Ovis aries: one gene and its partner. The protein of the gene in region 2 purifies or fractionates together with the protein of the main gene of each other region. This does not show direct contact. Links are inferred from orthologs where the notes say so. Each region holds a gene or a part of one and is shown on either strand. Other genes may lie near its edges.

Region 1 (4,250 bases), on a different chromosome or scaffold from region 2:
ACCTAGTCTTAAGGCACACAATAGGCTTCAAAGAACTGCTTGTGGAATGAAAGAACCAACAAAAGTCCACAGGACAGGATCTGGAGCCTCACAGACCTCAGTGTGAAGTCTAGCTTATTAGCTACCAACCTTTGGGCAAGATCTCCTCTTTGATCCTATTTTCTTCCTGTACAGTGGGGACATCATCATCACCCCTGAAGGTTCTTTTAAGGATATAGATAAAATAAGTCAGGTTTCAACCTCAGCCCATGGCACAAAACAGGTATTCAATGAAAGTGGAGCTATAATTCTTATTATGCTCTTTTGATTATTTTTCTAAACTTGAACTAAGCTGTCATTTATTATCTGTTACGTGTATTATTCCTTGAACACATTACCTCTTATTCTTAAATGAAAACATGTATGGCCACAGCAGACCACCTGCTTGCAAATTCTATTTAATCAACAACTCTTGGCAGGCTCTACAGAAAAACAATCCTTATTCTTCTTGTTAGGCTTCTATGACAAAAATTCTATGACAGAATTTTTAGTAAGCATTTATTCGAGTAAAACGTTTAGATCTTATGACGTGAGGCTTAACAAACTCCCTGCAGAATAATTTTCCAGAGATTAGGAAAGAAAAGAGCTTGATGATCTAAATGTAAAAGAAGAAAAGCCAGGTCTCTTCTGAATATTTTCCAGGGAACCTAGAATAGATATGTGTTCCAAAACTGTGAGTTTCTAAAAATGACAGGCCACAGGTAGAGAAATTAAGTGCATATACCACTGCTTCCTGTTCCTCCTCATGGTGTGCATTAAATTCTTTACTCCCTTTGGTGTGGTGGACAGAACATGGCTCAGAGGGCCTCAGTTCTAGTTCTCATATGACCTCTAATTGAGCTAGTCACCTCAGCAATCTGAACCACATTTCTCTTCAAATACAAAGTTGAGCTAAATACTCTCCAGAGGTTTCTAGAGTCAGAGGACTCCATAGTTTTGATTTCTTTGACTTTAATTTATTTGTCCATTGATAACCTACACCTACTAGGGTCTACCAGATCAGACCTTTAACCCATCACCCTCAGCACACATTTCAGCCTACCAGTGGTATTGCAACATCCTCATAAGGCAGCTTATCTTCTCGCCAAGCATCGTCAATCAAATCCAAGATCCTTCCATCTCTCTGTACCTCACTGTCCATTCTCTTGCAGCTTTGATCTTGTCGGATGGGACCTGTAAACCAAAGAGGTTATTTCTTAAACATGAAGAATGAAAAGATGATGTAATCCAGCCACTAGGGTTCTCTAGGCTTTCTAGTGTGGGTTTTGGCATTGGATCATCCAGGGAGACTCATCTCACCTGGATTAGATTACAGTTTCTTTATAACATCACAGTACCTCCCAGCTGATCTTCCTAGTCACACACAGATTCCATTTTTTGGTAAAGTTTTCTCGGATCACTCAGCGTCAGCATGCATTCTGCCCTTGAATGGTTCCTTGTTTTTATGATTCACTAGGCAAGTTAAGTTGGCTTTATGACTGATGGTTCAAGCATTATTGTTTTCAATTGCTGTGCGTAAATTTTTTATTAATGATTCAGCATGTTTTCCCTCAATTTGGCCTCAAATAGTTTTTCACCTATTCTTCTTTAGAATATATCTAACTTGTCACACTTTCCAGCCTTTGCACCTAAAAAGGTCTCTCTGCCCCATCACGAACACCTATTTTTCCTTCCAAACTCAAAGTTGAGTGTCAGCTCATCGGGGCTAACATCTCATTTCCAGAGTTAGGCGCTAAGGTGCCGTCACTCTTCAGGGGCTGGAAGCGTGGAAAGTACAAGGCGGGCAATGACCAGGTCACAGCCAGCGTCCCAGGCACTTGCCAGTCCCCATAATTAACTGTTACCACTTTCCTGAACAAAATCTTACACACGTGACTGTCCCAAAGCTTGGAATGCTCTGTCTTCTTCCTTTTTTCCTCAGCTAACCCCCAGTCACTCTAAACAACTTAGCTCCCAGGTTGCCTCCTGCAGGAAGCTTTCTCTAAGCTCCAAGAAGAACGCGATATCCGCCCCTCCGCAGGTTCCATATTTCCCGGGGCGCAGTGAATGGGCCCCATCAGGGGCTTGTTACATTGCCCGTTACAGGGTCTTCCCAGACAAGCGGTGCGTGCGTTTCTTCGGGACAGGGGCAGTTTTATTCACCTCTGTTTTAGAGATCGGTAAACTTGCAGTTAAAAGAGCAAACCTGGAATGCCCTTTCCCCCCCGCTAAATATGACCCTCTCGGGCCACCACCGTCCGTACAGGCGTGGGATCCCGCCCCATAACCTCGGCTTCCGGCCCAAGGCGGGCTCTACCAAATGCGGAAGCGGGGGAAGTCCAGGGCCTTCGTGTAAGTCCTTTTCTACCCTCCCGACGAGCGGTAAGGGAGGTAGTTATCAGGGTGAGGTGAGGGCAACGACCTCTGCCGATAGGATCGGCCGAAACCCGAACATGCGCTTCTCCTACACTACCTAAGCTAGGGCGCGGGAAACCTTTACCAGCACTGGCCCAGCACAGCCAGAACCACGCCCCCAGCGGTCATGTGGCCGAGGCGCCCTGCTCTCCGATCCCCGGAAGTCGGTGAGCCCATTTGGCGGGGCGGAGGGGGGGGGGGGTCAAGGAGGACGTTGCTTCAATTAAAAGTCAGGGAGCAGTAGGCGGAACGAATGTTCCGAAGACCGTGACTGGACGTCAGGTTGGCGGTGACGCGCGTGCGCGCCCCCGTCCGGAGGTAACGGCGGGAAGATTCGGGGGCGCGCTCGTGGCAGGCCTGTAACCGCATGTGTGAAAGTCCAACAGGCGACGGGTGCCGGTGTCCGGAGCCGGAGGCCGCCCTGGCTGCAGTGGGGCCGCAGACTGAGCGGCCGAATGGCCGGGGGCCGACTTCCTCAGCCGCCCGCTGGCCTCCAGGCTCGCCTCCGCCGGCCCGGCTCCGCCCCGGCGCCCCGCCCCTCCTCGCCGCAAACGCTTCGCAGACCCGCGAAGCAAGATATGGCCTCCCACGGCGCGCAGTCCGGGCTAGCCAGGTGGTCAGCCCTTCCCCTGAGGCCGGCCGGCGGGAGGGCGGCGGGGTGGGCGAGCTGCTCCGCTTCTCCCAGCGGAGTCGGCAGCGAGTCAGGCTGCCACTTCTGGGGAGGTACCCCCGGCCCAGCCCTCCCGCCTGGGCTGCCTCATTTGGCTAGCATCCTTCCTAGCCTTGTTGAGGCTTAGGTTGCTGACGGCAGGTGATAGTGGTTCATTTATGGGTGGGAAATTTAGCAAGTTTTTAAAAATAATTGACTTAAAAACCATAATGTTAGTTCCAGAGGTATGGTAATGTGGCAGAAATCATGAAGGACAGAATTTGGGGAACCCTGAACTTATTGCTCCATAGAAATCAGGGATGCGAAATAAAGTGAGAGAAAAAAAGGGATGGGCCCATAAAGCACTATAATCATGAACATATTTGGAAGCAGTAAACCTAGGCTCATAATGTAGTTTTTACAACATCAGAGAGTAAAAGTGAGCTTGCTGTCAGCGACTCGTGTTCATTTACAGCGTCTAGTTAAAGCATGCGTATTGCGCAGAGTAGTTTTCCTTAAGGCTTACAAACGGTTCCTTAAACCAGTGTTAACATTTTTTTCCTTCCTTTAATAAAACAGTACTGTAGGATTTGTGCCCTGTAGTTTTACAGTTCCCCACATGCTTGCATTTAACTATTTTCTAGATACGAAGAGGAAACCATAAGGATCATTAACTACATGTTACCTTCAAATTTTTCTATACTGATCATAGCTGTAGCTTAATGATATAATAAAGGGTATGTATTTTCTTATTTGAAATGTAGTATTATTAGCTTTTTATCGAGCTTCTTGCCTTTTGACTATATCATCAGTGATCAGTATAGTAAGAACAACTGAAATTAAAACGGGCTAGATATTGATAAACATTATAGATTCAGGTTTTAACAGTTATTGTAGTTGTTGTATGTATTAATTGTATTGATGCCACTTGTCTCCCGTTAAAAGGTAGAACAACTTTGGCCCTTCCCGTTCTCAGTTAAGGTAGTAGTGGTATTGGACGGTAATAGCATCACTAGTCAACTTTATTAGAGCTTCCTCCTTTTAGGAAGCTTGTTTGAAATTCAGCTAAAACCGACACTGACCTGGGTTTCAGGAATTGAATTTTTGGTTTCTGTGTTACTTTAAATATTTTTCTTTAAGAACTCAGATTGTGTTTTCAGCTTTACAA
Region 2 (3,500 bases):
TGAGTGACATTTTGGCCCAAGGAGCCTTAAAAGATCGTGGGAGTACAGAGGGTAGAAAAATTTGGAACTAATTCTTGACTAAACTGCATGCTGGCTTTCATGGTAGCTGGAATGAAATGTTGTCGGTCTCACTTCCATAAACTGCCAATTTGCTGTTTTTCTTTCTCTGTAGTGAAGTGAGAATTCTGCTAGAGAGGAAATGGCTGCCTCTTCATCATCCTCCTCAGCTGGTGGGGTCAGTGGAAGTTCTGTCACTGGATCTGGTTTCAGTGTCTCAGACCTTGCCCCACCACGGAAAGCCCTTTTCACCTACCCCAAAGGAGCTGGAGAGATGTTGGAAGGTGATCTCATGCTGCTTTTTGCTGAATAATTGGATTCAGACCTGCAATGAATATTAATTGTAAAGAAGCTATTAAGTGGATTAGTTACGAGTTTGTCCTGATTTCAGCTCTACATTTCATCTCTTGTCCTCATTTCAAAATATCTTTAAAACACAAATCTTTCTCCAGAATTAGGATTTTGGAGCTGAAAAAGACTTTGGAAATCATGGAGGTCATTTAGAGTTATTTAGACCCAGAAAAGATAAAGTGATTTGACCATGTGAAAAGACACAGTCAGCACTTGGACCAGGAATTCCATTAAACTCCTGCTCCAGTTTGCTTTATCCTGGCACCAGTCGGCTTCCCTATGGTTAGTAGGTTTCATATATATTTTTTCTAATATAATTCACCTACAGATAGATGAAGAGATTCTGAGAGAAAATAAAAACCAATCTACTATTCTTACATGGCCCACTGCAGGACAGTGCAGTGTGGTTTCTCAAGCACTGGAGCTGGATGTGCATCAAATCATCCCCTATCTTATTCAGCACACATTTGCAAACTGGCTGGCCAAGATCAGGGCACAGGCTATAAGCATGAAACAACTTTAGTACCTAGAATTCATCAGGTACATGTCACTTTAGGAGATGGACCAATAAATTCTTAATAGAGAACATTAAAACCTCCTGAAGAGCTGATTTAAAATGCACATTTCTGGCTCACCTAGAGATTCCAAATTAGTCTAGGTTATAGCACAAGAATCTCCATTTTGACTAACATCCAGGGGATTCTCATGAAAGTGGCCCTTAACTATTAAACTATTCTTCATACCTCGAAAAAAATCAGTAAAGAACCTACTAAAGATTCAAAATCTACTTGATTCAAGCACATCTGTCCTTAATTGTATATTGATCCTTTTTGCTTTAAATATTGCAGATTTCAGTAAATATACTTAAAAATTAATCTGGAAATATCTGAGAAAGGCACAGACTGTAGATAAGAGTCAGCTTTTCGGGGGTGGTCTTCACTTATATCAGGTATAATAAAAAGCAGAGGTTTGGATTAAGCCAACGCAGACAGAAGTATCACTTGTGACAGGAAAACACAGGAAGACTGGGACCATAGGGGAGACTGGGACTAAACATAGGAAGACTTTTTAGAATTGGTTCAAATCATGATTGGTGAAGTAAACAACCAGATATTGTAGTTAGTGATACATGAGGTGTATGTACTGATACTTCTGTCTATGCCCTTTTGTTTTCTTCAATTATGTTAACTGAATACTCAAGCTAACATCACTGAGTCTGGAGGTAGTGAACATCTAGGGCCTTGTTTACCATATTTGGCACTAAAAATAAATTATGACTTAAGTTATATGCTTCAGAGACCTGGTATTAGGAAGTTTCTCCCAAAACAAATCAAAAGTTGGAGGCACTTAAATTGTTTAATGAGTTTTATGGCAGCAGAAAAGGAATCCTTATTTAACAATGAACCCTAAGATTAAAGTCATTTAAAGTCTAGCTACAGGAGGAATTTAATACAGCGGTACCTCCATGGTCTCAGAGCTGTCAGCATTCTTTGTCAGTGTACACCAGATTTCTTGGAAACATTAAAGAAGAAAGGCTTCTGAGATTAGTCTAAATGTTGATGTTCTAACAAGTGATAGTTCTGTCCACTTGTATTCCATCTCAGTATGCTTCATGGGGGACTGTGTTGCCTTTCTACTGTAGAATGAATTTAAGTTTAAATTTGCAGTGCCCAGTTTGGGTTTTCTTCCTTAGGTTTAAAGTTTCACCTATACTTTAAAGCTATTTACATTTAAGGACAACCTATGAAAACTTAGAGGTAGCAGCCCTTGAACTATCCTGAGTCAAGTGAAAAATGTTAAATTGAAAAGGGTACCCTTAAATGTGAATTAAAAGGGATGGTAGATTTGGTTACCGCATCCTACTGTGTTTATAGGTGATACTATTATGCAAGTAATCTAATGCACATGTACCTGACCATTTTTCTTACGGAACTTTAATGGAATACAGGCATACCTTGTTTTGTTGGGCTTTGCTGATACCATGTATTTTACAGATTGAAGGTTTGGTCAACCTTGCCTTGAAAAAGTATGTTGGCGGCATTTTTTCAACAGCATTTACTCATTGCCTATCTCTGTGTCACATTTTGGTAATGCTGACAGTATTTCAAACCCTCCACCAGCAAAAAGGTTACATTTCCCTGAAGGCTTGATGATGGTTAGCATTTTTTTAGCAATATTTTTTAATTAAGGTATGTACATTCTTTTTTTTTAGACATAATGCTATTGCACACTTAACAGACTACAGCATGGTATAAGCATAACTTTTATATGCAATAGGAAACTAAAAAATTAGTGTGATTTGCTTTATTGCAGTGGTCTGGAACCAGGCCTATGACATCTCTGAGATATGCCTGTATGAAAATAGAGTAGGAAGAGTTGCCTCTTCAGAGTAAGAACAAAAGCAATTAGGTGCTGTTTTTTATCTTAACAGGTTCAACTTGGTCTTGCATCCTCCCAAGTCTAGGATAATAAACCGAAATAACCTGTACTTAACCTTGTGTATTAACTTTTTTGTGTATCTGCTGTCTGATATCAAGACACCTCACATATGCAGTATACTGTACAGGACTTTTCAACATTCCCCTGCCTTTGGCTAGGATTGTCTCACCCTATTGTCTCACCCTATATTAGTAAGCAAGTTGGAGACTGCCTTCCAGTCCTGAAATGGCTGAATTTTGGTGGCATCGTATGCCACTGGAGCATAAATTATCTGCCATTGCCTGTTTTCCCGCTGTGGGATAATAAGTCTTTTAAATGAATTTGTTAGCATCCTATTTATTGGAGTTAACAGTGGTGTTAGATTTGGACAATTTACTGAACTTTTCACCATTTATAACCTTTACTTGTCCCTTAAAGAGGAAAGCTGATGTATTGCTACTTGGTGTGTTACAGAGAGTTTGATTACAATTTCTAAATGGAAGACAGATTGCCCCAGGCTGACTCCTCTCTGGAGAAATTCCAGACTTTAGATTGTTACAGATATCACATCTAATAGGATGTAGCCAAGAAGCAGTGGACTTCGTGGTTAATGCAGAGCTGCAAATCAGCAGAAATGTGTTCCATAGACATACAAAGCAGCAAAGTGATATGCG

Evidence for each region. Proteins that work in one complex are often made in the same cells at the same time.
Region 1: the proteins of ANAPC16 (region 2) and ANAPC13 purify together in Homo sapiens (affinity purification with mass spectrometry; 3 studies listed by BioGRID and IntAct, counting the BioPlex papers as one, with this or other methods). This does not show direct contact. The link is inferred for Ovis aries from reciprocal best matches to the Homo sapiens genes ANAPC16 and ANAPC13.

The regions. Positions count from the first base shown.
Region 1 is NC_056054.1:255,495,601-255,499,850, reverse strand, and holds the start of ANAPC13 (anaphase-promoting complex subunit 13), read right to left. Parts: upstream 2,801-4,250; 5' UTR 2,492-2,800; exon of another isoform or gene 2,371-2,491; coding exon of another isoform or gene 2,339-2,370; exon of another isoform or gene 2,317-2,338; intron 2,287-2,316; exon of another isoform or gene 1,339-2,286; intron 1,213-1,338; 5' UTR 1,181-1,212; coding exon 1,082-1,180; intron 1-1,081. Other genes in the region: CEP63 (centrosomal protein of 63 kDa), read left to right, coding at 2,801-3,046. UniProt on the Homo sapiens protein: Component of the anaphase promoting complex/cyclosome (APC/C), a cell cycle-regulated E3 ubiquitin ligase that controls progression through mitosis and the G1 phase of the cell cycle.
Region 2 is NC_056078.1:27,526,070-27,529,569, forward strand, and holds part of ANAPC16 (anaphase-promoting complex subunit 16), read left to right. Parts: exon of another isoform or gene 1-172; 5' UTR 173-199; coding exon 200-341; exon of another isoform or gene 342-382; intron 383-3,500. UniProt on the Homo sapiens protein: Component of the anaphase promoting complex/cyclosome (APC/C), a cell cycle-regulated E3 ubiquitin ligase that controls progression through mitosis and the G1 phase of the cell cycle.